Linked DNA regions of Anolis sagrei. The protein of the gene in region 1 interacts with the protein of each later gene in a biochemical or structural test. Links are inferred from orthologs where the notes say so. Each region holds a gene or a part of one and is shown in the gene's direction. Other genes may lie near its edges. The genes, in order: SRC, TAMALIN, ENO1 and MAPT.

Region 1 (8,240 bases):
CAGTTATTGATGTTTAGGATAATGCTGCCATGATGCAGTTGGATCTTAGATGAGATTATTTGGGAATAACCAGAAGACAATTAAATGGGGCTTCCTTGAAGGCACAGTACTAGGGCAGGGAGGTCCTTGATGGATTTCACATGCTCCCTGGCTCTACTCAGTTTTACCCAACTCAGCTGCATCTTAGCCTTCTCAGGTTCTGATTCATATAGTAATTCCCATATTTTACTTCATGGAATAAGAAGTTAGTATTCTTGAAGGAACTCCCCTCAATTTTTTATTAGTGCATCGTGCTGATGACTCACACTTCACTTGTGGTCAACTAAGGCCCCTTCCACATAGCTGAATAAAATCCCACATTATCTGCATTGAACTGGAATATATGGCAGTGTGGACTCAGATAACCCTGTTCAAAGCAGCTATTGGGTTTATATGGCTGTGTGAAAGGGGCCTAAGGCCTCTAGATCCTTGCCATATGTTGCCGTAATGTGACTGTACTTTAACTTCTATTAGTGCAGGTACAGAAATGGCTTGGGTTGCTTTTCTCTGGACACATTCCAGATTGTCAATATTCTTGAATTGTGGTGCTCACAAAGGCACATAGTATTCCAATGAGCTCTGACCAAAGTGGAACACAGTGGCACAACAACTTCTGTCAATAGTAAGACAATATATTCTTGTTGATACAGTCCAGAACTGCATTGGCGTGTGTTTAGCTTTTGATCAACCAAGACTCTTAGATCCTTGCCCAGGCTATGTGCTTTTATAGTTTCTACTGGCGCAGGTACAGAAAAAAATCAACAGCTGAGGGCATGACGGCTCCTATTTTAGACTGAGGTTGCAACCTTTACTTTGAATTATCACCCCGCCCCCAGCAAAAACTCCAGTTAAGAAAATAATGTACACAGAGATGCAGAAGGTATCGATCCATCTCTCTCAGTACTGCCTGCTCTACTTGGCAGCACCTCTTTAGGGACTTGGGCAAAAAAAGCTTCTTGTTTCATTTTTCATTGCACTCTTCCACTGAACTCAGTTTCATCCCATGAGTTATAACCTATAGGAAGACTGATACATCTGAGTTGACTAGATGGGTTGGAAGCACCTGGAAGCTGTTAAAGACTCTCATCTGCTAGATCTGTACCAATAAAAGAGCCTCATTTAATTCCTTGGTTATCATTCCCAGGTAATCACACCTAAGACCCAGCCATATGGCGGTAGTTCTGTCTTACCTATAGGGTTTTCTTAGGCAAGGAATATTTAGAGGTGGTTTTGCTTGTTCCTTCCTTTGAAAGGTAGTGTACAGCACCTGGCATTTGTTGACAGCAGATGCAGGGAATGCCATGGATGTAGCGTAGATTTCAGAAAGTCCTTCGTCAAGGTCCCCCATGACCTTCTGGCAAGCAAACTAGTCAAATGTGAGCTAGGCAAAACTACGGTTAGATGGATCTGTAATTAGTTAAGTGAATGAAACCAACGGGTGCTCACCAATGTTTCCTCTTCATCTTGGAAAGAAGTGACAAGCGGAGTGCCATAAGCAGGGTTCTGTCCTGGGCCCGGTCCTATTCAACATCTTTATTAATGACTTAGATGAAGGGTTAGAAGGCATGATCATCAAGTTTGCAGATGACACTAAATTGGGAGGGATAGCCAATACTCCAGAAGACAGGAGCAGAATTCGAAATGAACTTAACGGATTAAAGAGATGAGCAAAAACTAACAAAATGAAGTTCAACAGTGACAAATGCAGGATACTCAATTTAGGCAGAAAAAAATGAAATGCAAAGATACAGAATGGGGGACGCCAGGCTCGAGAGCAGTACGTGTGAAAAAGATATTGGAGTCCTCGTGGACAACAAGTTAAACATGATCCAACAATGTGATGTGGAGGCAAAAAAAAAAAAAAAGCCAATTGGATTTTGGGCTTCATCAATAGGAGTCTAGTGCCTAGATCCAGGGAAGTCATGCTACCCCTCAATTCTGCCTTGGTCAGACCACACCTGGAATACTATGCCCAATTCTGGGCACCGCAATTGAAAGGAGCTGTTGACAAGCTGAAGTGTGTCCAGAGGAGAGCAACCAAAATGATCAAGGGTCTGGAGAACAAGTCCTATGAGGAGCAGTTTAAAGAGCTGGGCATGTTTAGCCTTCAGAAGAGATGGCTGAAAGGAGACATGAAGAGGGCCTTGCATAAATATGTGAGAGGTAGTCATATGGAGGAGGGAGCAGGCTTGTTTTCTGCCGCCCTGGAGACTAGGACATGGAAAAATGACTTCCAACTACAGGAAAGGAGAGTCCACCTTAGGAACAGCTTCCTGACTGTGAAAGCTGTTCAGCAGTGGAACTCTCTGCCTCGAAGAGTGGTGAAAGCTTCTTTGGAGGCTTTTAAACAACTGGATGGCCATCTGTCAGGGGTGCTTTGAATGCGATTTTCTTGCTTCTTGTCAGGGGGTTGGACTGGATGTCCTACAAGGTTTCTTCCAAGTCATGTTACCCCTCTATTCTACCTTGATCAGACCACATCTGGAGTACTGTATCCAATTGAAGGGAGATGTTGACAAGCTAGAATGTGTCCAGAAGAGGGCGACTAAAATGATTAAGGGTCTTCCAACTCTATGATTCTATAATCCCAGTATGAACAAGGGCTGATCCTGCTTTGCTTCCAAGATGAGAAGGGTTTGGGCACCTGGATGAAGGTACAACAGGCATGGGCAAACTTCAGCCCTCCAGGGGTTTGGAAGTTCAACTCCCACAATTCCTAACAGCCAGAGTTGAAGTCCAAAAGACCTGGAGGGCTGAAGTCTGCCCATGCCTGTGTTAGAGCAGTGTTTCTCAGCCTGTGAGTCCCCAGATGTTTTGGCCTTCAACTCCCAGAAATCCTAACAGCTGGCAAACTGGCTGGGATTTGTAGGTCAAAACACGTGGGGACCCACAGACTGAGAACAACTATGTTAGAGGGTGGGGCAGTCCCTTCCATGCTTACCTGAGGGGAAAACAACTCCATGGTTTTACGTGGAAAATTTCTGTTTGAGCAAACAAAACAGGGGGAATTACTGGACCTTCCTATCTCCTTTTCAGATTTTTTGAGGGGAAAGAGGAAGGAAGGAAGGAAGGAAGGAAGGAAGGAAGGAAGGAAAGAAGGAAAGAAAGAGACAGGAAGGATGGAGAGAAAGGAAGGAGAAAGAGGGAGGAAAGAGAGAAGATAGGAAGGAGAGGAAGGAAGGAGAAAGAGGGAGAAAAGAGAGAAGATAGGAAGGAGAGGAAGGAAGGAGAAAGAGGGAGGAAAGAGTGAAGATAGGAAGGAGAGGAAGGAAGGAGAAAGAGGGAGAAAAGAGAGAAGATAGGAAGGAGAGGAAGGAAGGAGAAAGAGGGAGGAAAGAGTGAAGATAGGAAGGAGAGGAAGGAAGGAGAAAGAGGGAGAAAAGAGAGAAGATAGGAAGGAGAGGAAGGAAGGAGAAAGAGGGAGGAAAGAGTGAAGATAGGAAGGAGAGGAAGAAAGGAGAAAGAGGGAGAAAAGAGAGAAGATGGGAAAGAAGGAGAAAGAGGGAGGAAAGAGAGAAGATAGGAAGGAGAGGAAGGAAGGAGAAAGAGGGAGGAAAGAGAGAAGATAGGAAGGAGAGGAAGGAAGGAGAAAGAGGGAGGAAAGAGAGGAGAAGATAGAATCAAAGAGTTGGAAGAGACCTCATGGGCCATCCAGTCCAACCCCCTGCCAAGAATATTGCATTTAAATCACCCCTGAAAGATGGCCATCCAGCCTCTGTTTAAAAGCTTCCAAAGAAGGAGCCTCCACCACACTCTGGGGCAGAGAGTTCCACTGCTGAATGGCTCTCACAGTCAGGAAGTTCTTCCTCATGTTCAGATGGAATCTCCTCTCTTGTAGTTTGAAGCCATTGTTCCGCGTCCTAGTCTCCAGGGAAGCAGAAAACAAGCTTGCTCCCTCCTCCCTGTGGCCTTCTCTCACATATTTATATATGGCTATCATATCTCCTCTCAGCCTTCTCTTCTTCAGGCTAAACATGCCCAGCTCCTTAAGCCGCTCCTCATAGGGCTTGTTCTCCAGACCCTTTATCATTTTAGTCGCTCTCCTCTGGACACATTCCAGCTTGTCAATATCTCTCCTGAATTGTGGTCCCCAGAATTGGACACAATAATCCAGGTGTTGTCTAACCAAAACAGAATAGAGGGATAGCATGACTTCCCTAGATCTAGACACTATGCTCCTATTGATGCAGGCCAAAATCCCATTGGCTTTTTTTGCCGCCACATCACAAAAAAGCCAATGGGATTTTGGCCTGCATCAATAGGAGCATAGTGTCTAGATCTAGGGAAGTCATGCTACCCCTCTATTCTATTTTGAGAGGAGAAGATAGGAAGGAGAGGAAGGAAGGAGAAAGAGGGAGAGAAGAGAGAAGATAGGAAGGAGAGGAAGGAAGGAGAAAGAGGGGGGAAAGAGAGAAGATAGGAAGGAGAGGAAGGAAGGAGAAAGAGGGGGGAAAGAGAGAAGATAGGAAGGAGAGGGAGGAAGGAAGATCCCCACCGAAATGATTAAGAGGGAAATTGAGTAGAGGGGGGAGAAAAAAGTCCTACGACCCTCAGGAAGAGAGCATCCACCTCTCTCCCAGACGTGAAGCCCTTGAGGACCACAATCCACCCCCTCCCTTTATAAACCACCCTCCCCAAGGCCTCCTCCTCCTCCTCCTCCTCCAGGCAGACACCACGCCCGACGTCAGCAAGCGCCTCGTAGACGTCACGCCTTGACTCACCGCGACGTCATACCTCCCTCCAACCCTCCTCCTCCTCCCCCTCCCCTTTTGCCCGGGCAGGACGGAGTCGCGCGGCTCCTTTCCGCCTCTTTCCTTCCTTCCTTCCGCTCTTCCTCTTTCCCCCCAAAAATCAAGCCAAGGAGGCGGCAGCTTGTCCTCCCCCCTTCTCTCCCCTCCCCCCAGCTTCCGGTTCTGCTGCCATATTCCTTTTTTTTATTTTAAAGGCAGGGGAGGAAAACCCGCTGGGAAAGGGAAATAAAGCAGCGCAAGCGAAGGGAGGCAAGGAAGAGCTGCGTCCTGCTCGCCTTCTCCTCTCCCTTTGGATGCTCTTCGGGTCGGAGGAGGCGCTCCAAGGCTTCCTCATTCCGGAGGAAGGAAAAGGAGAAGAAGGAGAAAGGAGACGCCGGGCTTTCTGGAAGCCGCAGCGAAGGGACTGCTGCTGACATCACTTTCTCGCAAGCCGTCCAAGTTCTGGTCCCTTTCGAGGCTCAAGTCTCCAGCGAAGGAAAGAAAAGAAGGGAGAGAAGGAAGGCAAGACCCAGGCGCGCCTCCCGTCCTAGCAAAGCTCCTCCTGAATGAATACGCGGCGCTTCCTCGCTGGGCCGCCTTCCTCTCCCTCTCCTCCTGGGTTGCCTCTGTTTACTTCCAACTGAGCCCCCCTCTCCTTCCTTCCTTTGGGTTTGGGAAGAGGGAGAAGCACACCAAGGAAGGGAGGAAGCCAAGCAGACGTCGTCTATCAGCTGAGACCGAAAAGCCGGCGGAGGAAAGAGGAAGGAAGGTAAGCCGCTCCGCCGGTGGAGAGAAGCGTCTCTCCTGTTTGCAGGGAAGGAGACAGCTCACTACTTGGCTGGATGGGACTTAGACCCTCCAGGTGTTTTGGACTTCAACTCCCACCATTCCTAATAGCCTCAGGCCCCTTCCTTTCCCCGGCTGAGGGGGGAAAGGAAAGGGCCTGAGGCTGTTAGGAATGGTGGGAGTTGAAGTCCAAAACACCTGGAAGGAAAGGCCCAAGTTTGTCCATGGGTGCCGGTTAACTGAGAGTCTGCAGCACGTGTCTGTGTTTCGAATTTCATGTCTGAATATCCCTTTCTTTCTCCTCCTCTCCTTCCTTCAAGAAAAAGGAATATGGATTAATAATAATAATATTTTCGAAGGCTTTCATCACTGGGTTGTTGTAGGTTTTTCCAGGCTATATGGCCATGTTCTAGAGGCATTCTCTCCTGACGTTTCGCCTGCATCTATGGCAAGCCTCCTCAGAGGTTCTGAGGTCACATAGCCCGAAAAAACTTACAACAACTGGCCATGTTCTAGAGGCATTCTCTCCTGATGTTTCGCCTGCATCTATGGCAAGCCTCCTCAGAGGTTGTGAGGTCACATAGTCCGAAAAAACCTACAACAACCCAATAATAATAATAAAACTTTATTTCTAGACCGCCCTCTCTCTCTGAAGGGACTCAGGGCAGTTTGCAGACACAAAACAAAAAGGCAAACATTCAATACCTTCAAATGAATACAAAATACATAAGAATAATACAAGATAATGCACAGAAACAACCGTACACTTGCAACAATTAAGCATCGAGATGGAAATGATTGAAAAGCAATCCAGTAAGAGATGGTAAACTAAAACCTGAGAAAAGCATTACAATGTTTACCCTGTAAGCAATTATGATACAATTACATTGGAATGGGTTGTTTTGAGTTTTCCGGGCTGTATGGCCATGTTGCAGAAGCATTCTCTCCTGACGTTTGGCCCACATCTATGGCAGACATCCTCAGAGGTTGAGGGGTCTGTTTGGAAACTAGAAGAATGGGGTTTAAGCCTTCCTGAGTCCTCCTTTGGAGGTTGAGAAGGGCGGGATACAAATGCTCTAAATAAATAAATAAGTAAATAAATAATCTGTGGAATGTCCAGGGTGGGGGAAAGACCTCTTGTCTGCTGGAGGCATGTGTCAACGTTGCAATTGGCCACCTTGATTAGCATTTAATGGCCTGCAGTTTCAAGGCATGGCTAGTTGCTGCATGGGGGAATCCTTTGTTGGGAGGTGTTCGCTGACCCTGATGAATTCTTATCTGGAATTCCCCTGCTTTTTGAGGCTTGTTCTTTATTTACTGTTCTGATTTTAGAGTTTTTAAAAAACTGGTTTCCAACAAACCCCTCAACCTCTGAGGATGCCTGCCATAGATGTGGGCCAAACGTCAGGAGATAATGCTTTCTGGAACATGGCCATACAGCCCGGAAAACTCACAACAACCCATTGATTCCAGCCATGAAATCCTTTGACAACACAATAATATTAATAATAGGACTTTATTTCTAGAACGCCCTCTATCCTCAAAGGGACTCAGGATGGTTTACAGACACAAAACAAAAAGGCAAACATTCAATGCCTTAAGTAAATACAAACACATCAAAATAATACAAGATAATGCACAAAAACAACAGTAAACATACAACGAAGAATTATCCATCGTGATGAAAATAATTAAAAAAAACAAACCAATAAGTGATAGTAAACTAAAACATGAGTAAAACACTACAACATATACCCTAAAAGCAATTATGATACAATTACAATAAAATGGCTAACACCTGTATTCTTTTAAGATGTATTGTAGCAGCCAAAAAATACAAGTGGGTTATGGATATTGTGTGTATATGTATGTGTATGTATCTCTTTGCTCCTGCTCCTGAATTCCCCTTTTATTCTAATGGCAGCTATTTCCACTGAGTGGGTTCATCTTTCTCCCTTTCAGTAAAGGCGGGGAAAGAAAGGCAGAGCCTGGTTCTGATGCCTTGTTGTTGTTGTTGTTTGTGCTCAGTGTGCGTGAAAGGATGCAGGCCAGGATGCTTGGCCGCCAGGGAAGAGGATCCTTGGGGGGGGGGGGGGGGCTTTCTTTTGTTGTGGTTCAGTGTCTGCTTCTATGGGAGTGAGGGGAGGGGGCTTCCTGTCTGGTCCCAGGTGCCCTCCTCCCTCGCCCTCCCTCCCGCTTCTTACACTGAGAATCAAATCATTTGGGGGAAAAGAAACCAGGGCAGGAGGGAGGGGGAGAGGGCAACCCAGGAGCTGTTATCTAGGCCAAGAGATGAAATATTAATAACACGACCCATTTCAAGGGCTTTTCCAGCCCAACCCCCCCCCCCCCCAATCCCACCCCCTGTTGTTGTTATTGTTGTTCTGCTTCTGATGTAGAAGCCTTCTTTCCAGAGAGGAGTGTCGCCTATGGGTTTATGTTGTATCATCACCTTAAAGCATGCCTATGTCTATGCCTATGCTCCACCCCCCCCCCCCCCCATTAAATATCTCCCACTTAACTTGGTCTCGCCTTAAATGGTGAGGGTAAGGATTTAATCTCCTGGATAATTTGGAAAAGCTCTTTAATTAAGGAACAAATGGGCCTCTCGCTGCCTTCTAACTTGGGATGCTTTGTGTTTGGAAGCCTGAGGAGATATTATAATATAATATAATCCTCTTCCTT
Region 2 (8,309 bases), on another chromosome or scaffold:
CTCATTTTACTGAATCATACATTAGACTATTTTTATATATTCTTTATGTTCTATTTGTCTGTATGGATTTTGATATGACCCATGCCTAAGTCAATAAGAAAGCCACCACTATTATCCTGTAAGGCAGTGGTTCTCAACCTTCCTAATGCCCTGACCCCTTAATACAGTTCGTCATGTTATGGTGACCCCCAACCATAATATTGTTTTTGTTGCTACTTGATATCTGTCATTTTACTATTGTTATAAGTCGTAAATATCCAATATGCAGGATGTATTTTTCATTCACTGGACCAAATTGAGCACAAATACCCAATACGCAGAGGTGGCCCTAGGTAATTTTCAACAGTAAGCAAACAGTATTCCCGCCTCCCCCCCCCCCCCCCTTTCCAACAATCACTGATATATATTTTCTGTTCGTCGTGGGAGTTCTGTGTGCCATATTTGGTTCAATTCCATCATTGGTGGAGTTCAGAATGCTCTTTGATTGTAGGTGAACTATACATCCCAGTAACTACAACTCGCATATGTCAAGGTCTGTTTTCCCCCAAGAGCGCCTCGAAAGCGCCCCTGGGCAAAATCAACTATACTGCAAATGCTTACTTTGCGTAATGGGTTGAGCCACCCCTGCCAATACAACCAAATGTGAATGCTAGTGGGGAGGATTGATTTTGTAATTTGGGAGTTGTAGTTGCTGGGATTTATAGTTCACTTATAATCTGTTTAAAATAATCTTTATTAATTTTCCATTAAAAACATACAATAGCTGATGGGTAGGGTGGTAAAGAGGAGTTTAGGGTAGTGGGAGGGGAGAGTAAAAGCGTAGAAAAGAATAGGAAGTAGTGTGATTAATAGATGTTGAAACAATGTATATATACATATATATATAATGTGCCAGGTGTGGGAATCGAGAATTGGGAAGAGAGTTGTGGGGAAAGAGTGGGGGAATGGGATATGCATGATGATTCTGGCGTTGACTTCCCGGTATCTTTTGGAGGTTCTTCCTATTCCTTCATTCTTTCCCTCTTTAGTTCACTTATAATCAAAGAGCATTCTGAACTCCACCAGCAATGGATTTGAGCCGAACTTGGCACACAAAGCTCCCATGACCAACACAAAACACTGGAAGGGTTTGGTGGGCATTGACCTTGAGATTGGGAGTTGTAGTTCACCTATATCCAGAGGAGCACTGTGGATTCACGCAATGATGAATCTGGACCAAACTGGGCACGAACACTCAATATGCCCAAATGTGAACACTGGTGGAGTCTGGGGGAAATAGACCTTGACATTTGGGAGTTGTAGTTGCTGGGATTTATAGTTCACCTACAATCAAAAAGCCTTCTGAACCCGACCAACAACAAAATTGGGCCAAACTTCCCACACAGAATCCACATGACCAACAGAAAACACTGTGTTCTCTGATGGCCTTTTACGGCCCCTATGACACCCCCTCATGACCCTCTCAGGGGTCCCGACCCCCAGGTTGTGAAACACTGCTGTAAGGCATTTGAAAAGGTCAGAAACTGTGCCATGGTGGAGAGAGCAAAGCTGGCTTAGTGCGTCCTATACGTTCCCCTGGCATATGGGGCTATGCTTTTGCCTTTCACCACTGTATTCAGAAGAGATTGTTCCTTTTTCATAAGAGTTAAGGTACAATATTTACATTGACCCCTTGATAAGTCAGCCAAGGTTTTTTAGATCAATGTTTTTACTTAAATAATATATATAGCATATAGGGTAATTTGATGGCAAGCAGGTTCAGAACTATTATATTAGGGTTTTTAGATGTTAAAGGTTAACATTATAATAGCTATTATTATAATAGTTATTATTAGTTTCCCAGAAGAAGCTTGTTTTCTTCTTTGTTTATGTCAAGCGCCTTCTAGTTTTTTCCCACAAAGGCAGGATGGCCATCTGTCGGGGGTGCTTTGAATGTGACTTTCCTGCTTCTTGGCCGAATGGGGTTGTACTGGATAGCTCACGAGGTCTCTTCCAACTCTGTGCCTATGATTCTATCCCTGACTTTGCAGGGCCCAGCAGACATTATCCCTGAAATTCGGCTGGATGCCGGCAGAGGGCGCTCCTGCATTTAGAAGCCTGACCCATCCTCGTGCAGCGGGCAAAGGAGAGGCGCCCAAGTAGTTGGGAAAAGTTGAAGAGGGCAGGCATTGTGTGTGCCAGGCAGCAGGCCTGCGCACATTCCTGCCATCTCTCCTTCCATTAGTAATTGCAGGTACCCAGCTCCATTAATGGGGAGAGGCAACACAGGCCCAACACTTGCACTCCTGGGTCATGGTTTTTATTTATCGTATCATATGCAAATCAGGGGTATAGTTGTAATGTATATATTTTTAAAAAAACAAGAAGTTTAAAAACTTGGCATTATACTAAATGTCCTTTGACCAGTGGCTGGCCACTTGGAGTGCCTCTGGTATCGCTGTGAGAAGATCCTCCATTATGAATGTGGCAGGGCTCAGGCTGCATTGTAGTAAGTGGCCTGTGGTTGGCTGGACTCCACTTTGTGGCCCCATTTCTTATGGTTGGCTCTGCATCTCGTGTTCATTGCCTTCCAAGTCACCCCGTCTTCTGTGTGCCCAAATGGGAGTCTCTCATTCAGTATCAACCATAGCTTGAGGTTTCAGGTTTGAGCCTGCTACTTTTGGACTCTTACTTGCTGAGGTGTTCCTGTAAGTATCTCTGTATTAATTGATTTAAGGCGTTGGTGTGCTGGTTGAACAGAGGATGGCCCGAAGATGTCACTGCCTTGGTCCTTTCATTGTTGGCTGCTACTTCCCAGCAGATGTCAGGTGGTGCAATGCCAGCTAAAGAGTATAATTCCTCCAGTGGTGTAGGGCGCAAACACCACATGTTAATGCGCCATGCCATGTATAAATATGTGAGGGAAAGTGATAGGGAGGAGGCAGAGGTGGCCCTAGGTAATTTTCAATGGTAAGCAAACAGTATTTTGGCGCCTCCCCCCCCCCCCCCAACCAATCATTGATATAAATTTTCTGTTCATCATGGGAGTTCTGTGTGCCATATTTGGTTCAATTCCATCATTGGTGGAGTTCAGAATGCTCTTTGATTGTAGGTGAACTATTCATCCCAGTAACTACAACTCGCATATGTCAAGGTCTATTTTCCCCCAAGAGCGCCTCAAGAGCGCCCCTGGGCAAAATCAACTATACTGCAAATGCTTACTTTGCGTAATGGGTTGAGCCGCCCCTGGGAGGAGGGAGCAAACTTGTTTTCTGCTGCCCTGGAGACTAGGACGCGGAACAATGGCTTCAAACTACAGGAAAGGAGATTCCACCTCAACATGAGCAAGAACTTCCTGACTGTGAGAACTGTTTAGCAGTGGAACTCTCTGCCCTGGAGTGTAGTGGATGCTCCTTCTTTGGAGGCTTTTAAGCAGAGTCTGGATGGCCATCTGTTGGGGGTGCTTTGAAGGTGATTTTCCTGCTTATTGGCCAAATGGGTTGGACTAGATGGCCCACGAGGTCTCTTCCAACTCTATGATTCTAAAGACTCTATGACTTTACTAGCCGTCCGCTGCAACACATTGCTGTGACCCAGTCTGTGTATATGTTTTGTGTGTGTGTATATGTGTGTGTGTATATTTCTGTATATTTGCATATGTGTGTTTGTGTGTGTGTGTGTATATATATATATATATATATATATGGTTTTGTGCATGTGTAGTAATGTATTTTTAATTGGCTTTTTAAGTCTCTTCTGATGTGTTTTTCGGTATTTTTATGAATGATGGTCACTTGTTGGCCTAATAGGTGTATTGTGTCCAAATTTGGTGTCCATTTGTCCATTGGTTCTTGAGTTATGTTAATCCCACAAACAAACATTACATTGTATTGTCGAAGGCTTTCATGGCTGCAATCACTGGGTTGTTAAAGGTTTTTTTGGGCTATATGGCCATGTTCTAGAGGCATTTTCTCCTGACATTTCGCCTGCATCTATGGCAAGCATCCTCAGAGGTCGTGAGGTGACCTCACTACCTCTGAGGATGCTTGCCATAGATGCAGGTGAAATGTCAGGAGAAAATGCCTCTAAAACATGGTCATATAGCCCAAAAAAACCTACAACAACGCAAACTTTACATTTTTATTTATATAGACGATTCTACAATTCTTGGGAGGAGAGCAATGTCCAATCTTGATAAAATAATGAAGAGTAGAGACATCACACTGGCAACGAAGCAATGGTATTCCCCGTAAGTAACCCATGGATGCAAAAGCTGGACCATAAGGAAGGCTGAGCGAAGGAAGGTAGGCACTTTTGAACTGTGGTGCTGGAGGAAAGTTCTGAGAGTGCCTTGGACCACAAGAAGATCCAACCAGTCCATACTTCAAGAAATAAAGTCCGACTGCTCATTGGACGGAAGAATAGTAGAGGCCAAGATGAAGTTTTTTGGCCTCATCATGAGAAGACAGGAAAGCTTAGAGAAGATAATGATGCTGAGGGAAATGGAAGGAAAAAGGAAGAGGGCAAGGGCAAGATAGATGGATGGCATCCTTGAAGTGACTGGCTTGACCTTGAAGGAGCTGGAGGTGGTGACGGCCAACAGGGAGCTCTGGCGTGGGCTGGTCCATGAGGTCACGAAGAGTAAGGAACGAATGAACAACAACAAAAGGATTCTACATTGTGGAATGGAAGAGAGAGGAGAATTCCTCGAGGGAGGGGCGTGGCTTGTTTGGAGAAGAGGCGTGGCTTGCAGGAAGAGAAGGCGTGGTTTCCATTGACTCCAGAGGCGGCTGAAATGGCAGTGGGCGCGTCTATGCAGATGAGGGGTGGGGCTATGCAGATGAGGGGGCGTGGCCTTGGCAAGGAGGCTCGTCCCCTTCCCTTGTCTTCGCCAGCCTCCCCTCGGAGGAGCCCATCTCGCTCGAAGCCGTCGCCCACCCACCCACCCTGCTCGGCCATGACCCTGCGGAGGCTCCGGAGGCTCCGTCCCGGGCAGCCCGAGGAGGAAGCGGCGGGCTCCGGGAGCATGCCGGGGGCGAGGGGCGTCCTCGGGGGGAGAGCCTCGGAGCTGGAGCTGGAGAAGGCGCTGGCGGCCTCAGGAGGGACCCTGCCCAGAGCCAGGCGGGTGAGTGAAGGGCGGAGACCGAAGGAAGCAGGCAGGGAGGGAAGCCCCCATCCCTCCCTCCTCGTGGCCGTCCCCAGCCCTGCCATGCGGGTCCCAAGGCCGAGTTCTGGGGAACTACTTCGCAGGACTTTCGCCTTGACATGTCTCCTGACCCCCATCCTTCTCTGTCTCCTGGAATCCTCGAGCTGGAAGAGGCACAGTCCCACCTTTTTCTGGCAAAGAACCATCAAAGCCTCCCCGACAGATGGCCATCCAGCCTCTGCTTCGAAGGAGAAAGAGGCTCCTCTATGTCACATCCTCTCAAGCATCTATTCTAGACCCAGCCATGGAAGTCGCAGGATCACCTATGGAAGTGCTTCTCAAACTCTGCTCCTCAAAGTGTTTTGGGCTTCCGCTCCCAGAAATCCCAACCAGCTTACCAGCTGTTAGGAATTGTGGGAACTGAAGTCCAAAACATCTGGAGGAGCACAGTTTGGGAAACTGGCCTGTTTTTTTAAAATGTCAGGAGCAACTTGAGAAACTGCAAGTCGCTTTTAGTGTGAGAGAACTAACAGTCTGCAGGGATGTTGCCCAGGGCACACCCGGATGTTTTACCACCCTGTGGGAGGCTTCTCTCATGTCCCTGCATGGGGAGCTGGAGCTGACAGATGGGAGCTCATCCCGTTCCCTGGATTCAAACGGCCAATCTTTCGGTCAGCAATCCTGCCAGCACAAGGGTTTAACCCATTGTGCCTCTGGGGGCTCCTGGCCTATGGTTTCTAGGACTACATGTATAAGATGATACTTTTTTTTGGTTATTTTTAAGAGAGAGAAAGTAGGGAAACATCAGTGCAAAAGTTAGGAAGAGGTGTCTGTGAGTCTCGATATAAAGGACATTTCAAACGTGTTGTGGTCCAGCTTTGTGTGTTTTGTATTGTCGAAGGCTTTCATGGCCAGAATCACTGGGTTGTAGTAGGTTTTTCTGGGCTATATGTCCATGTTCTAGAGGCATTTTCTCCTGACGTTTCACCTGCATCTGTGGCAAACATCCTTCTCTGAGGATGCTTGCCATAGATGCAGGCAAAACGTCAGGAGAAAATGCCTCTAGAGTCTAGAACATGGCCATATAGCCCGGAAAAACCTACTACAACCCTTTGTGTGTATTTTCTGGGACACACAGTTGAGGGTCAGTTTGGCACTGTCTTGGCTGGAGTGGTTGTTTGTCTTTCTCTTCCACAGCCGTATTATTCCTGACAAAGGCGTGCAAGCCCTTTTGGGTGTGATGCACAAACCCAGCGCTGAATCCCTAACCATTTATCCCCTTAGCAAGCACTTTATATCTTTAAGGGTACTGTATTGTGCAGTTTTCTGTGGGATTCAGTTCTGGGTAAACATACAAAAAGGATTGGGCAGTATTTCAACTTAAAATATAGGGATCAGGTTTAAAGTTGGTCTGCGTGTTGGAAAGTTTCCTCCGTGGGATGCTCGTTTTTGGGACAAGAAAGAATTGTGTATCTCTCAACCCATACTTTGTGGTACTTTCCAGTTCTTTGCTCTGGGTCCATTTTTGGATTCCCTGGAAAAGTTGGTCTGACAGCAAGAAGGGAATCTTCCTATAATTTCAACGAACTTCCTATCAACCCTTTTTCTAAGTGCTTTTAGGAAAGCTGATCAGGCATTTCCTGGGAGCAAGGGATAGCATACTCAGATGTAAACCTTTTTGGGTTACTGTGAAGTTTCTGGGCTGTATGGCCATATTCCAGAAGCATTCTTTCCTGACGTTTCACCCACATCTAAAGTAGGCATCCTCAGAAGTTATGACTTCACAACTTCTGAGGATGCCTGCCATAGATGTGGGTGAAATGTCAGGAGAGAATGCTTCTGGAACATGGCCATACAGCCCAGAAAAGTCACAGCAACCCAGTGGTTCCAGCCATGAAAGCTTTCAATAACATAGGTTACCTTTTTGGCATACAATTCCCCAAATCGTCCAGCTAGCGTGGCCAGGGGATTCTGGGAATTGTGGTCCACAGAAGTAACTTTTCCAGACTCTTTAGGATCTTGAGCATGCCCCTCCTCCCTGCTTTCGAACTGTCACTGGCTTGTTTTTATAATCTTGGCAGACTAGACTGTGCCTTCTAGGAAGTAATCTTTGGGATTTAACTCCTCATAAATTAGTTCAACTTCAGGCTACCATCCTTTTGTGAATTTCCTGTCCAGTTTCCTTCCACACGGCAAGTTGCTGCAGGTAGTTCTATATTATATATCTAATGATAATGAATGCAGTGAAATGACAGAGTTTTAACATCAAATTGTAAAATAAACATGCATAAGCCTTGAGAATGTGTATGCATGTGATAGACCATAATTTCTATTTTAAAAGAGGGATAAAAATGGATAGAGCCATCATTGACAATAGGTTCTGAACTGCTCCCGTGTTACCAGAATGAACAAGGCTTTGTAGAGACCAAACTATTGTTTTATCGTGTCAGAGGCGACTTGAGAATACTGCAAGTCGCTTCTGGTGTGAGAAAATTGGCCATCTGCAAGGAGGTTGTCCAGGTGATGCCCGGATGTGTTACCATCCTGTGGGAGGCTACTCTTGTGTCAGTGCATGGGAAGCTGGGGCTAACACACAAGAGCTCACCCCACTTCCTGGATTTGAACCACCAACCTTCAGATCTTCAGGTCAGCAGTTCAGCCCTTGCGTCACCGTGGCTCCAAACTATTGAAAAGTTCCCTTTGTTTACTGCAGCTCCCAGAATCTCCTTACCAACTGGCTATTGGCTGTGGTGTCTGAGGATATCTGGGAGTTTTCCACTGTTTAGTTTCCAGGCCACTTGTTCCCAACTCCCTCTTGCTTGTAATTTACCCAGATGCTTCTCTTGAGACCTCTGCTCTCTCTCTTTACCAAGAAACTAATCTTCTTGGTTGTCACTTGATCCAACCATCCTCTATTGATTTCATGAATATTAAGTCCATGTGAGAAGTTGCAGAAGGTTGTTCGCCAGGCTTGCTTCTCCAATTCCCGGTTTTCATAGCAAAGAGTTGCAGTTCTTGCTCATTAACCATTTTTTGCTTTCCTTTTTGTCATGGGGTTCAGTCAAAATCCCCTTGATGCAATAGGGTTGCATGGGCTGTATTTATTTATCGGGTGTTGTACTCCCAATTTCTTCCCTGCCTGTGTCCCAAAGGTCGGTGGTTTGAATCCGGGGAGTAGGGTGAG
Region 3 (7,739 bases), on another chromosome or scaffold:
ACCAATGATGGTATTGAACCAAACTTGGGACACAGAACTCCAATTGACCCACAGAAAATGCTGGAAAGGTTTGGTGGGTGATTGACCTTGAGTTTTGGAGTTGTAGTTCACTTACATCCAGAGAGCACTGTGGACTCAAGCAATGATGGGTCTGGACCAAACTTGGCACGGATACTCAATATGCCCAAAAGTGGTGGAGTTTGGGGGAAAAAAACCTTGACATTTGGGAGTTGTAGTTGCTGGGATTTATAGTTCAGCTACAACCAAACCCTTCCAGCATTTTGGAGTTGTAGTTCACTTACATCAAGAGAGCAAGGTAGACTCAAGCAATGATAGATCTGGACCAAACTTGGCACGGATACTCAATATGCCCAAATGTGGGGAAAAACGACGACATTTGGGAGTTGTAGTTGCTGGGATTTATAGTTCACCTACAGCCAAACCCTTCCAGCATATTGGAGTTGTGGTTCACTTACATCGAGAGAGCAAGGTGGACTCAAGCAATGATAGATCTGGACCAAACTTGGCCCAGATACTCAATATGCCAAAATGTGGGGGGGAAAGATCTTGACATTTAGGAGTTGTAGTTGCTGGGATTTATAGTTCACCTACAATCAAAGAACATTCTGAACCCCACCACTGATGGAATTGAACCAATCTTGGCACACAGAACTCCCATGACCAACAGAAAAAAATGGAAGGGTTTGGTGGGAATTGATCTTGATTTTGGGAGTTGTAGTTCACCTACATCCAGAGATCACGGTGGACTCAAACAATGATGGATCTGGACCAAATTTGACACAAATACTCAATATGCCCAAATGTGAAGACTGGTGGAGTTTGGGGAAAATAGACCTTGATATTTGGGGGTTTTAGTTGCTAGGATTTATAGTTCACCTACAATCCAAGAGCATTCTGAACTCCACCACTGATGGAATTGAACCAATCTTGGCACACAGAACTCCCAGGACCCACAGAAAATACTGGAAGAGTTTGGTGGGCACTGAACCTTGAGTTTTGGAGTTGTAGTTCACTTACATCAAGAGAGCAAGGTGGACTCAAGCAATGATAGATCTGGACCAATCTTGGCACTAATACTCAATATGCCAAAATGTGAACAATGGTGGAGTTTGGGAAAAATAGACCTTGACATTTGGGAGTTGTAGTTGCTGGGATTTATAGTTCACCTATAATCAAAGAGCATTCTGAACTCCACCAATGATAGAATTGAACCAAACTTGGCACACTGAAAATACTGGGTTTGGTGGGCATTGACCTTGAGTTTGGGAGTTGTAGTTCACTTACATTGAGAGAGCAAGGTGGACTCAAACAATGATGGATTTGGACCAAATTTGGCACAAATACTCACTATACCCAAATGTGAACACTGGTGGAGTTTGGGAAAAATAGACCTTGACATTTGGGAGTTATGGTTGCTGGGATTTGCAGTTCCCCTACAATCAAAGAGCATTCTGAACTCCACCAGCGATGGAATTGAACCGAACTTGGCACACAGGACTCCCATGACCAGCAGAAAATACTGGAAGGGTTTGGTTGGGCACTGACCTTGAGTTTGGGAGTTCTAGTTCACCCACATCCAGAGACCACTGTGGACTCAAACAATGATAGATCTGGACCAAACTTGGCACAGATACTCAATATGCCCAAAAGTAGCAGCTGCTCATTCGAATGCTAATAAAGCAGGCCTCTTCTTGCCCAAACAGATGCCAAGGCTAACAGGAATGCTCTCTTCTCCCCTTGCATGAGAAAGAATCCTCTTGTTCTTAAACAGGCATGCGCAAGGCCTGATACTGTCTGCTGTGAATCTGGATTCCCAGGAAAAACCATGTGGCTATCTATCGTAAAGACATGTATTCATGCTACGGGAAATATGACACACACATGAAGACTTGACTGCATTGTAAACAACGTTGTAAACACTCGCATGGCGTGGATTCCACTTTGTGGCCCCATTTCTTGAGGTTGGCTCTGCATCTCGTGGTGCCCGAGTGCAGTCTGTTCAGCGCCTTCCAAGTCGCCCAGTCCTCTGTGTGCCCAGGAGGGAGTCTCTCATCTGGTATCACCCACAAATTGAGGTGCTGGGTTTGAGCCTGCCACTTTTGGACTCTCGCTTGCTGGGGTGTTCCAGCGAGTGTCTCTGTAGATCTTAGAAAACTATGTCTTGATTTAAGTCGTTGACGTGCTGGCTGATACCCAAACAGGGATGAGCTGGAGATGTCACTGCCTTGGTCCTTTCACTATTGGCTGCTCCTTCTCGGCGGATGTCAGGTGGTGAAATACCGGCTAAGCAGTGTAATTTCTCCAGTGGTGTAGGGCGCAGGCACCTCGTGATAATGCGGCATGTCTCATTCAGAGTCACATCCACTGTTTTAGCGTGGTGAGATGTGTTCCACACTGGGCATGCGTACTCAGCAGCAGAGTAGCACAGCGCAAGGGCAGATGTCTTCACTGTGTCTGGTTGTGATCCCCAGGTTGTGCCAGTCAGCTTCTGTATGATATTGTTTCTAGCACCCACTTTTTGCTTGATGTTCAGGCAGTGCTTCTTGTAGGTCAGAGCACGGTCCACAGTGACTCCCAGGTATTTGGGTGCGCTGCAATGCTCCAGTGGGATTCCTTCCCAGGTAATAATCCTCAGAGCTCGGGATGCTTGTGTGTTCTTAAGGTGAAAGGTACATGTCTGTGTTTTAGATGGATTAGGGATCAGCTGGTTTTCCCTGTAAGAGGCAGTGAGAGCACCTAGAGCTTCGGAAAGCTTCTGTTCAACCATCTCAAAGCTCCCTGCTTGAGCGGTGATGGCACGATCATCAGCATAGATGAAACTCTCTGTAAATATATGGTATGAAAATATATATTGTAAGCTGCTCTGAGTCCCCTTCGGGGTGAGAAGGGCGGCATAGAAATGCAGTAAATAAATAAATAAATAGATGCCAATTTTCAGAGACTTGGTACGAACCGGCCCCTGGTAAATCTGTTTGCCTACATTAATTCCCTGTTGCTTTTGCCTTTTCCTTCTCTTTCTTTCTCTTTCCATTGATGCCAGTACCACTTAACTCCCTTTCGCGGCGGTGTGTTGACACACAAAAATCCAGCTGCGTGTGGCAAATCAACAAAAGAGTGTGGTCATGATGAGCATGACTGCATGGAGCACCGTTGCCTTCCTGTCAGAGCAGTACCTATTGATGTACTCACATTTTGATGTTTTTGAACTGCTAGGTTGGCAGAAGCTAGGGCTGACAGCGGAAGCTCACACCGCTGGGGATTTTCCATCCTTGAAAAAAAGAAAAGAGAGAAATTAAATATATTTTTAAAAGGAAAGAAAAAAGTCTCCTTCCTCTCTCTTTTTTTGAATTGCATTTTTGTATTGTATTTTTTGTTTTGTATAGTAATTTTTTTTTTGTTTTGTATTGTACTTTTTGTATTGCATTTTTGTATTTGCAAAAAATGGGGATTTTCCATCCTTGGAAAAAAGAAATAAATTAAATGCATTTTTTTAAAAAACAGGAGAGAAAGAAAAAAAGTCTTTTTCCTTTGCACTCTCTTTTTTTTGTAGTGTATTTTTTTGGTTTGTATTGTATTTTTATTTTATTTTTTGTATTGCATTTTTGTATTGTATTCTTTTTTTGTATTGTATTTTAATTTTATTTTTTTTATTGGATTTTTGTATTGTATTTTTTTGGTTTGTATTGTATTTTTATTTTATTTTTTGTATTGCATTTTTGTATTGTATTCTTTTTTTGTATTATATTTTTATTTTATTTTTTGTATTGCATTTTTGTATTGGATTGTTTTTGGTTTGTATTGTATTTTTATTTTATTTTTTTGGATTGGATTTTTGTATTGTATTTTTATTTTATTTTTTGGATTGCTTTTTTGTATTGGATTGTTTTTGGTTTGTTTTGTATTTTTATTTTATTTTTTTGTATTGCATTTTTGTATTGTATTTTTTTTGTTTCGTATTGTATTTCAATTTTTTTTTGTATTGCATTTTTATTTTATTTTTTTGTATTGCATTTTTGTATTGTATTTTTTGTTTCGTATTGTATTTCAATTTTATTTTTTTTTGTATTGCATTTTTATTTTATTTTTTGTATTGTATTTTTTTTGTTTCGTATTGTATTTCAATTTTATTTTTTTTGTATTGCATTTTTATTTTATTTTTTTGTATTGCTTTTTGTATTGTATTTTTTTGTATTGTATTATTTTTTTGTATTGCATTTTTGCATTGTCTTTGCAAAAAAATGGGGATTTTCCATCCTTGAAAAAAAAAGAAAGAAATTAAATGCGGGTGTTTTAAGAGTGAAAAAAAGGAGAGAGAAAAATTCTCCTTCCTTTCCTTTGCTCTCTCGCTCTCTCTCTCTCTTTGAGCAAAAAGGAAGGCGTTTGTGCACGTAGCGCACGCGCCAGAAAGGCTAGGCGAGCCTGGCGAGAGGCGCGTCCTGACCAATCAGGAAGGAGCCGGGGACCCAGCCAGCCAATAAAAAGCCGAGTCCCGGGCATTGATTTGCATACGCCCGGGTTATAGCTCAGCGCGAGCCAGGCGGATCTTCCCCAGTTGCACAGGAAGCAGCAGCCTTTGCAATTCTCTTGCTTGGTTCTTTTTGCAAACAGTAAGTAGTTTTCTATCATTGTAAGTTACTTTTTTTTTTGCATTGCCAGGCGCTGTTCTTAGTCCTAGGTAAGTGCATGGGTGTTAGTGTATGTGATTATTATTTGGATAATATATTCTAAATTCCTGCAATGGATTTGGTTGCAAAGGGAACAAAGGACCACTTTGCATCCTTTCCCAAATATCTAGGTAGTTTTTTAAGGTCCTCTTCCATCAGAGCAGGGCCCAAAATGCAAAAGGAAGGCCCTAAATAAAGGAGAAGTGAACCTATCATGGGCTGAGAGAGTGTGACTATTTAATGTATTTTTCATATATTTATTTTTCTAATATAATATATATTAATATAAAATGATATATTAGAATCTAATATTATATTTAAGTGCATGTTAACATATGATAGTAATTTAATATTGAATATAAATATTAAATTACTATTATATATATTTATGTTCATATAATATATTATTATATATTTATTTATGTTCATATAATATACTATTATGTATTTATTTATTTATGTAAATAAATAATAACAGTATAATCATGTAGTATGATATAATAATATAATATTAAGTGCATATTTAATATATAATAATAATTTAATATTTTTATTTTTATAATATGATATTATATATTATTATTATAATGTAAAATGATAATATTATATTAGAATATAATAATATAATAAGAAAGTAAATATTTAATATTTAATAGTAATTTAATATTGAATATAAATGCTGTAAATAAATAATTACAGTATAATCATGTAGTATGATATAATAATATAATATTTAAGTGCATATTTAATATATAATAATAATGTAAAGTGATAAATGTTATATTAGAATATAATAATATAATATCTAAGTGCATATTTCATGTATCATAATAATTTAATATTGAATATAAATCCTGTAAATAATTAATTACAGTATAATCATGTAGTATGATATAATAATATAATATTTAAGTGCATATTTAATATATGATAATACTTTAATATTGAATATAAATGCTGTAAATAAATACAATATAGTATAATATATAATATAATACTTAAGTGCATATTTAATATATAACAGTATACTATTTAAGTGCATATTAATATTTTATAATAATTTAACATTGAATATAAATGCTATAAATAAATAATATTCCTATTTGGAGCTAGGGTTGGAATTCTCCAGGCCTAGATAAAAATAATAATAAAACTTTGTTTATTGAACTATTTTATTGATTTATTTTATATTTATATTATATTTTTATTTTTTCCAATGTTTTCCCATGTGGGTTAACAGCAAACATGACCCAATATACTTGAAAACTTAAGCAACTGCAATAAAAAAATATATGAATTTAATAACATGTGTGGCTTGGAAGATAAAAATATTAAAATACATTTAAAGGTATACTTAAAAGTTCACATGCCCTCCAAAATCCCATTCATTGCTCAAGGTCATTTGTGGCTGAGTGAGGATTTGAATCCTGTGCTCCGGAGTCATAGTCCAACACTCATAATCTGATTTCTTGTTACCTAATAAGGGATTATGATGGTTATTTTGCAAGATTTCTTTGGGGGAGGCTTTCCCCTTGCCTTCCTCCGAGGCTGAGAGAGTGTGACTTTGCCCAAGGTCACCCTGGTCTCCCACATCTGAGAAACCGCTCTGCGTTCATTGGTGCCTCTTAGATCTTATCAGGAGAAGCATAATAATAATAATATAATTTTAAGTGCATATTTAATATTCCCATTTGGAGCCAGACTTGGAATTCTCCAGGCCCAGATAATAATTATATAATATCATCAGATAATAATTATATAATACCGTAATGTAATATAATATTATAATATAGTAGGATAATACAATATATTCTAATATAGTATAATAATACTTGAGTGCCTATTTAGTATTCCCATTTGGAGCCAGGCTTGGAATTCTCCAGGCCCAGATAATAATTATATAATATAATATTATTATATAATATGATAATATAATATATTCTGATATATTATAATAATATTTTGAGTGCATATTTAGTATTCCCATGTGGAGCCAGGCTTGGAATTCTCCACGTCCAGATAATAATTATATAATATCATAATGTAATATAATATTATAATATAGTATGTTAATGTAATATATTCGAATATATCATAATATTGGAGTGCATATTTAATATTCCCATTTGGAGCCAGGCTTGGAATTCTCCAGGCCCAGATAATAATTATATAATATCATAATGTAATATAATATTATAATATGATTATTTATTTATTTATTTATTGGCTTTGCTTATATACTATATATAGTGCATATTTAGTATTCCTATTTGGAGTCAGGCTTGGAATTCTCCAGGTCCAGATAATAATGATATAATATGATAATGTAATATAATATTATAATATAGTATGATAATATAATATATTCTAATACAATATAATATTTGAGTCTATATTTAACATTCCTATTTGGAGCCAGGCTTGGAATTCTCCAGGTCCAGATATTATTATTATTATATATGATATTATAATATAATATAATAACATTTCAGTGTATATTTAATATTCCTATTTGGAGCCAGGCTTGGAATTCTCCAGGCCCAGATAATAATAATAATAATATAATAATAATAATAATAATTATTATTATAATAAGATATTACAATATAATATTTAAGTGTATATTTAATATTCCTATTTGGAGCCAGGCTTGGAATTCTCCAGGCCCAGATAATAATTATGTAATATAATATAAGAATATTATAATATGATGATATATTATAATATTTAAGTGCATATTTAATATTCCTATTTGAAGGCAGGCTTGGAATTCTCCAGGTCCAGATAATAATAATAATTATCATTATTATTATTATTATTATTAAATGATATAATATTACAATATAATATAATATTTAAGTGTAGATTTAATATTCCTGTTTGGAGCCAGGCTTGGAATTCTCCAGGTCCAGATAATAATAATAATAATAATAATAATAATTATTATTATTATTATTATTAAATGATATAATATTACAATATAATATAATATTTAAGTGTAGATTTAATATTCCTGTTTGGAGCCAGGCTTGGAATTCTCCAGGTCCAGATAAT
Region 4 (7,803 bases), on another chromosome or scaffold:
GATTGGATAATGACTGGATCTGCTCCTCTTTTGAGAGAGATTGTAATATGAATTTCTGCCTTGCATTGCTGGGAATTCGGCTTTATTTTGTGAAAGCATAATCTCCAGTTCTTTGACAACTGAGGATAACACATCATGCATTGAAAGTGAACACATGTGAAAGTTTATACTGCAATATACATATTGTCTTTAAAATGAAACCAGACTTAAACATTTAAAAATGTTGAAAATCCATAAACCTGTGCATGGCAATAAATGTGCAAAGCCTTAAAGAAACAGAACACTGATTTTGTCACATAATAATAAATTCAGCCAAATACAATTGTTGTGTGACTCCTGTGTATAGATTAATCTTTTACAGTTGCATAAATTGGTACCGCCAGCGTATCGTTATGAAGGTTAGTCCCATTGAATTCTGGGGTTTACTACAAAAAAATATTACTATAAGTACGCACAGGGTTACATGGCTACTCATCCGCTTCAGAAGCCAGTACAAGACGGACTGCTTGAATACATCACAAGCGGCAAAGAAAATCTTCTTACAAAACGTAATAGCATAATAGGAGAGCTGTGGGAGGGCTAACACAGGGAAAGAATGACAAGTTATTACTAGTACACCTCCATCCCTTTCTTCATTTGTGTAGCACTGTGGAAGATGGAGAGAGCAGGGGCAATTTGTGGATAGAACAAGGGCATGCTTTTCCCCCAACTTTTGTGTGTGTGTGGTATAGAAGCTAATATAATGTAGTGGCTTGAGACTAAGGGCCCTTCCGCACAGCCCTATATCCCAGAATATTCCAGGAGAAAATCCCACAATATCTGAGTGTGGATTCATATAACCCAGTTCAAAGAAGATATTGTGGGATTTTCTGCCTTGATATTCTGGGATATAGGGCTGTGTGGAAGGGCCCTGAGTCCACACTGCCATATATTCCAGTTAAAAGTAGATAATGTGGGATTTTATTCAGCTGTGTGGAAGGGGCCTGAGTCCACACTCAGATGTGGGATTTTCTGCCTTGATATTCTGGGATATAGGCCTGTGCAGAAGGATCCCTAGTTCAAAGCAGATAATGTGGGATTTTATACAGTTGTGTGGATGGGGCCTGAGTAGCCTTGCAGTTGCAAAGCCTGGCTGCTACTGCCTGGGGACATCCATTGTTTGGGAGGTGTTAACAGGCACTTGATTGTTGGCTGCCTGGAATTCCTGTTTCTGAGTAGTGTTCTTTATTCTGGTGTTTTGTTTTTTTTATATTATTACTAGCTGTCCCCTGCCACGCGTTGCTGTGGCCCAGTCTGTGTGTATGTGCTTTGTATGTGCATATATTTGTATATATGTGTACATATGTGTGTTTGCATGCGTGAGTGCATATATGTGTGTGTGTGTGTGTGTAGTTTTGTGCATGCGTTTGTAATGTAATTTTGGCTTTTTAAGTCTCTTCTGCTGTTTTTTTCAGTGTTTTTATGAGTGATGGTCACTCGTTGGCTTGATATGCATATTGTGTCCAAATTTGGTGTCAATTCATCTAGTGGTTTTTGAGTTATGTTAATCCCACAAATGAACATTACATGTCTGTTTATATACTATAGCTGTCCCCTGCCACACATTGCTGTGGCCCAGTCTGGTGATCTGGAAAATAAAGCAATGTGAAAGTGTTGGTTTCTAATATATGCAATGCCTTTATGCTTGTGGGTAAACAGTATTTCTTGTTTTTTTTTGTTGTTTTTTTGTGTCAGTGTTGATGTGGAGATTGTCTGGTTTGCCTACTCTGGAACATGCAACATATAATTGTCCTTCTTTAGGGGTCCCCTTCAAATCTATGATACTATATCTGTGTGTGTGTGAATTATATATCTATATCTATATCTATATCTATAGCTGGATGGCTCTTTGTCAGGAGGGTTTTGATTACGTTTTCTTGCCCTGGTGAAGGGAGTTGGACTGGGTGGCCTTAAGTATTTTCTGTTGATCATGAGGGTTCTGTGTGGGAAGTTTGCCCCAATTCTGTCATTGGTGGGGTTCAGCATGCTCTTTGATTGTAGGTGAACTATCAAAGACCATGCTGAACTCCCAAATGTCAAGGTCTATTTTCCACAAACTCCATCTGTGTTCATATTTGGGCATATGGAATATTCGTGCCAGGTTTCAATGCCCACCAAACCCTTCTAGTGTTTTCTGTTGGTCATGGGAGTCCTATGTGCCACATTTGGTTCAATTCCATCATTGGTGGAGTTCAGAATGATCTTTGATTGTAAGTAAACTATAAATCCCAGCAACTACAACTCCCAAATGACAAATCAATTTTTTTGAGTGATGGTTCTCCTTGGGTTAGTAGGTGTCTTGTGGCCAAATTTGGTGGCAATTCGCCCATTAGTTTTTGAGTTCTGTTAATCCCACAAACGAACATTGCATTTTTATTTATATAGACTAGCCATCCACTGCCACACGTTGCTGTGGCCCAGTCTGTGTATATGTGCTTTGTGTGTATATATATGTGTATATATATATGTGTATATATGTGTGTTTGTGTATATATGTGCTTTTGCACATTCGTTGTAATGTATATATAATATTTGGCTTTTTCAATCTCTTCTTCTGTGTTTTTCAGTGTTTTTATGAGTGATGGTCATTTGTTGGCCTGATAGGAGTATTGTGTCCAAATTTGGTGTCAATTTGCCCAGTGGTTTTTGAGTTATGTTAATCTCACAAACGAACATTACATTTTTATTTATCTACTAGCTGTCCCATGCCACGCGTTGCTATGGCCCAGTCTAGTGATCAGGAAAATAAAGTAATGAGAAAATGTTGGTTTCTAATATATGTAATGTCTTGATGCTTGTGGGTAAACAGTATTTCTTGCTGTTTCTTTGTCAGTGTTGATGCGGAGAGTGTGTGGTTTGCCTACTCTGGAACATGCAACATATAATTGTCCTTCTTTAAGGGTCCCTTTCAAATTTATGATACTATATCTGTGTGTGTGTGAATCATATCTATCTATATCTACTACTGGATGGCTCTTTGTCAGGAGGGCTTTGATCACGTTTTCTTACCCTGGTGAAGGGAGTTGGACTCGATGGCCTTAAGTAATTTCTGTTGGTCATGGGGGTTCTGTGTGGGAAGTTTGCCCTAATTCTCTTGTTCATTGGATTAAGAATGCTCTTTGATTGTAGGTGAACTGTGAATCCCAGTATCTACAACTCCCAAATGTCAAGGTCTATTTTCCCCAAACTGCACTGGTGTTCGCTTTTCGGTATATTGACTATGTGTGCCAAGTTTGGTCCAGATCCATCATTGTTTGAGTCCACAGTGCTCTCTGGATGTAGGTGAACTACAACTCCCAAACTCAAGATCAATGCCCACCAAACACTTCTAGTATTTCTGTTGGTCATGGGAGTCCTATCTGCCAAGATTAGTTCAGTGCAATCATTGGTGGAGTTCAGAATGCCCTTTGATTGTAGGTGAACTATAAAATCCAGCAACTACAACTCCCAAATGACAAAATCTATTTTTTGAGTGAAGGACATACATTGGGTTGATAGGTGTAGCGTGTCCAAATTTGGTGCCAATTCCCACAGTGGTTTTTGAGTTCTGTTAATCCAACAAACGAACATTACATTTTTATTTATATAGACTAGCCATCCCCTGCCACGCGTTGCTGTGGCCCATTCTGTGTATATGTGTTTTGTGTGTGTATATGTATGTGTATATATTTGTGTATGTGGTTTTGCACATGCATTGTAATGTATTGTTTATTATTTGGCTTTTAAAGTCCCTTCTGCAGTGTTTTTCAGTGTTTTTATGAGTGATGGTCACTGGTTGGTTTGATATGTGTCTTGTGTCCAAATTTGGTGTCAATTCGTCCAATGGTTTTTGAGTTATGTTAATCCCACAAACGAACATTACATTTTTATTTATATAGACCAGCCGTCCCCTACCATGTGTTGCTGTGGCCCAATCTGTGTATGTGTTTTGCATGTATATATATGTGTATATGTGTGTGTATATATATTTATGTATATGTGTATATATGTGTGTTTGTGTATATATGTGGTTTTCTGCATGCGTTGTAATGTATTTTTGGTTTTTAAGTCTCTTCTGTTGTGTTTTTATGCGTGATGGTCACTCATTGGTCTGATAGGTGTATTGTGCCTAAATTTGGTGTCAATTCATCCAGTGGTTTTTGGGTTATGTTAATCCCACAAATGAACATTACATTTTTATTTATATAGATAAGATTAATTAATACTGGTAACCAGATTATTATGCTTTCCTCCTTTCTGTTGAAATTGTCTACGTTTGTGGATTTCAATGGCTTCTCTGTGTAGTCTGGCATGATGGCTGTCAAGAGTGGTCCAGCATGTCTCTGTTTCCAAATAGTATTCTGTGTTGGTTGGTTTATCAAGTGACTTCTCTGGTGGAATTATCCCTACCTTGATCGAGTTTACCCTTGCAAGAAGGGGCATATATTTTTTTTTTGTTTCAAAGCCGGTCCCCCCTTTTTTTCCCAGAGACAAAGAACCAGGTTAGAAAAAGGAGCGCCAGCAGCGTCCGCTCGTGCGCAGGCGCAAACAAGGGAGGTGTCGAGAGAGGACAAGAGCGGCGCGTGAAGTGCGCCTGCGCGGCAGAGCCCCATCTGGCTCGCTAGGGAGGACTCTCATAGGCGAAGGTTCGGGAGCTTGTGCGCGCGGCCGCGGCAGGAGAGGCGCGCTCCCGTTCTCCTCTGCTGTCACTCCCCCTCCTCCCGGCTTTTGGTGAGCGAGGCTTTTCCAGCGAGCTTTCCCTGCAGCAGCGGTCGCAGCCGCAGCGCCAGGTAGGGTTTCCCTGAAGGGGGGGAAAGGCCCCTTTGAGGTTTGGCAAGGCTTGGGAAGCGGGCTGAGGTTGGGAAGGGTCTGGGCTTATTAGCCTTGAGGTGCATGAGGGAGCGCTCTAGCAATGGCACCACGGTTCCAGCTCCATGCCAGACAGGGGAGGCTTGCTTCATGCTGCCTTTCCATTTGCTCAGTCTCTGTTATCATTCAAATAGGACCTTATTCTTCTTTAACCACACCCCTCCCTCCAAAGGAGCCTTGTGGTGAATGAGCCACGCACTTGCCACCTGCCAAGGCTTATGTGGCAATAGGCACAGAGAGAGAAATTACTCCTCTGGGGCTTATTGCAAAAAATAGCCCATTTCCATCCACAGCCATTGATTCTTCTGAGGCAAAATGGGGCAGCAGCAGGGGTGTGTCTCTCCTGAACCTCAATAGGCTTCCTTGCAGGAGAAAGGTGTGCCTTTCAGCTCTTTCCTACACACACACATGCTTTGTCATAGTGTTCAAACAATGCAGCCTTGCATGTTGATAATTGGAAGACATTTGGAGGGATTTTTTTTTTTTTTGGATGGAGAGAAATCATCAAAAAATGTCACAAATGAATTCTCCATCTATGGATTCACAGGTGACTTTTTCCTCCATTTGAGACTTGAAGGAGAAAGAAAACAATGAAATGGAACAAATGGCTCTCTTGCGGTGGTGATGCTTCCAGTTAAAATTTAAGGATGTCATCTTTGGACTCTCTATTCTTCTCCGTTTTTTGACATGCTCCCCCTCCTCTTTTTCCCTTTGCCGGTCCCTCCCATAGGTCTGTGCTCCTCTTTGGAAGACTGGTTTTGATTGTGAGGGAGATGGCGAATGATAGGCTGTTGGTGCTGCAGTAGGTGTGGATCTCGGAGGGAGAAAAAGGATGGGCTCTTCCCCCTCCCTTTCACATCGGTGGTGCCATGTTTTGCAGTCCATGTCATATTTCCAGGATTGCTTAGAGCGTTTGCGTGATTGGGGGGGAAAAATAGACTGACAACCTACCAAAGGAAAAGGTGCTCTATGTTACTGTATTTTCACGGGGGAAAGGATGCTATCTAGGTCATCTACTTTAGAGGAGGGGTTGCTTTGTTCTATAAATGGGTCAAAATTATGGGATTTACCTTTGGGGTTTTAAAATCATGGGTGTGACAACAGAGCAAGGCTAGGGCTCCTTTTGAGAACGAAAACACGTCTCTTCCACCATCTCACACCATAATTAAATTGCCAACCTTACATTAATAGAAAATATTCTGAATAGAAATATAATTTACCAGCACATATTTCCAGATGTAGATCTAGCGATGTAACAGCAGAGTGAGGTTAGTGCGTAGTGTGTTGTGTTGTATGTCTGTGTGTTGGGGGGGGGGGGGGATGAAGATAGCTCTCTTCTACAATCCTACCCCACTCCATATTTAATTACCGACCTCACATTAGTAGAAGTATTCTGAACAGAAATATAATACATCGGCACGTATTTCTGGATGTAGATGTAGTGCCATTTTTTGCTCTGCCTATGCCGAGATGTGCAGCCCAATTGTTTGGTGTCTTCATTGTGATATTTTTTCCCCAGTTTCAAATGGTTTTCTCACAGGGGGAAAATGGATCAGAGTGTAATAGCAGCGGCTGGTCACGCCCAGTGGTAGGCTTGAATACATGGTTGCAAAGTACAGTTCTCATTGGGTAAAGATTGTGGTATGCTCATGTAGTTTTGGGTGGGGATGAAGAGGAAAAAATCCTTTGTCTACTTCCAGAATTAGCATTTTGAAAGCTCTTTTGCTAGAAGTAATATTGTAACCCCTTCTGTTAAATCTTTTTGCTAGAATTGATATGTCCACTTCTATTTTTTAATCGAGTATCATGTCTAATTACAATGTGCAAATATAAACTCCTGTATTGGTAAGTAACATCAGTGATTTTGTTCAACAAGAGTGGCGTGATATGATAGGATGGATGAGATCATACAATTCAAGATAGAAACATTTCCCAGGATCACCATTCTCTTCTCTCAGTCCTTTAAATAGTTGATTTATAGCTTCACTACTCTATTCTTAACTTACTTCCAGAATGTGTGAACACAATAAGTTTTTGCTATAATGAAAGGCAGCAGTTATATAATACTTGAGATTTTGCAGATATTATGAGGCATTCTTAGAATAATTTTGTTTAGTTATTCAACACTGTTACCTCCATGTCGCAGTTGGCAGATAAGACTGGATTTTCTAAGCTGCCAAGTGGCTTCTTGGCTGAAGTGACCACTACACCAGCTTTCTAATACTGCATTCTGTCCTACATAAGATATGAAAGGGAGTATATCATAGGAATATGTCCTTTATTACTATTCCATTGAAGTTGCTACAAAATGTTGGTTTTATTGAAATGACGCTAGAGCTCTGCTCTCTCGTGTTGGGTCATTTCTTCTCCATTACAGTGAATAGTTTTGGAAGACATCTAGGTGTTAACAGAAGCATTTTTAGTTGGGAAAACTGTTTGTTATTTTGTGGTTCGTACAGAACTAAATGAAAAGCCACTTCTAGCATTACAAGATATCCTATTACATATTTCACTAACTACAGGGGGTGGTTGGTGGGTACTCAGGACAGGGCTTTCTCAGGAACATCCACACTCTTGTTACATCTAGGATAGATTACTGTAATACACTTTACGTGGGGTTGCCTTTGAAGACTGCTCGGAAGCTTCAAATAGTCCGAGAGGCAGCTAGGTTAATAACAGGGAGCATACAATTCCCATATTACACCAGCTCTACTGGCTGCCAGTTTGCTACCGGCTACAATTTAGTGCTGGCTTTGGCCTATAAAGCCCTAAACGGCCCCGGCCCAAATTACCTGTCCAAACGCATCTCTTCCTATGAACCATTGCGGAGATTAAGATCCTTCAGGGAGGCCCTGCTTTCCCTCCCGCCATTGTCACAGGCACGATTGATGGGGATGAGAGACAGGGCCTTCTTGG

The links.
Region 2: of the proteins of SRC (region 1) and TAMALIN, one has a biochemical effect on the other in vitro, tested with the Homo sapiens proteins (2 studies listed by BioGRID and IntAct, with this or other methods). The link is inferred for Anolis sagrei from reciprocal best matches to the Homo sapiens genes SRC and TAMALIN.
Region 3: of the proteins of SRC (region 1) and ENO1, one has a biochemical effect on the other in vitro, tested with the Homo sapiens proteins (4 studies listed by BioGRID). The link is inferred for Anolis sagrei from reciprocal best matches to the Homo sapiens genes SRC and ENO1.
Region 4: the proteins of SRC (region 1) and MAPT form a complex in vitro, tested with the Homo sapiens proteins (3 studies listed by BioGRID and IntAct, with this or other methods). The link is inferred for Anolis sagrei from reciprocal best matches to the Homo sapiens genes SRC and MAPT.

Annotation. Positions count from the first base shown.
Region 1 is NC_090024.1:216,704,123-216,712,362, forward strand, and holds the start of SRC (proto-oncogene tyrosine-protein kinase Src), read left to right. Parts: upstream 1-4,779; 5' UTR 4,780-5,538; intron 5,539-8,240. UniProt on the Homo sapiens protein: Non-receptor protein tyrosine kinase which is activated following engagement of many different classes of cellular receptors including immune response receptors, integrins and other adhesion receptors, receptor protein tyrosine kinases, G protein-coupled receptors as well as cytokine receptors.
Region 2 is NC_090022.1:139,274,013-139,282,321, reverse strand, and holds the start of TAMALIN (protein TAMALIN), read left to right. Parts: upstream 1-4,920; 5' UTR 4,921-4,936; coding exon 4,937-5,104; intron 5,105-8,309. UniProt on the Homo sapiens protein: Plays a role in intracellular trafficking and contributes to the macromolecular organization of group 1 metabotropic glutamate receptors (mGluRs) at synapses.
Region 3 is NC_090033.1:2,612,231-2,619,969, forward strand, and holds the start of ENO1 (alpha-enolase), read left to right. Parts: upstream 1-4,529; 5' UTR 4,530-4,628; intron 4,629-7,739. UniProt on the Homo sapiens protein: Glycolytic enzyme the catalyzes the conversion of 2-phosphoglycerate to phosphoenolpyruvate. In addition to glycolysis, involved in various processes such as growth control, hypoxia tolerance and allergic responses.
Region 4 is NC_090026.1:44,349,970-44,357,772, reverse strand, and holds the start of MAPT (microtubule-associated protein tau), read left to right. Parts: upstream 1-4,624; 5' UTR 4,625-4,808; intron 4,809-5,758; exon of another isoform or gene 5,759-5,849; intron 5,850-7,803. UniProt on the Homo sapiens protein: Promotes microtubule assembly and stability, and might be involved in the establishment and maintenance of neuronal polarity.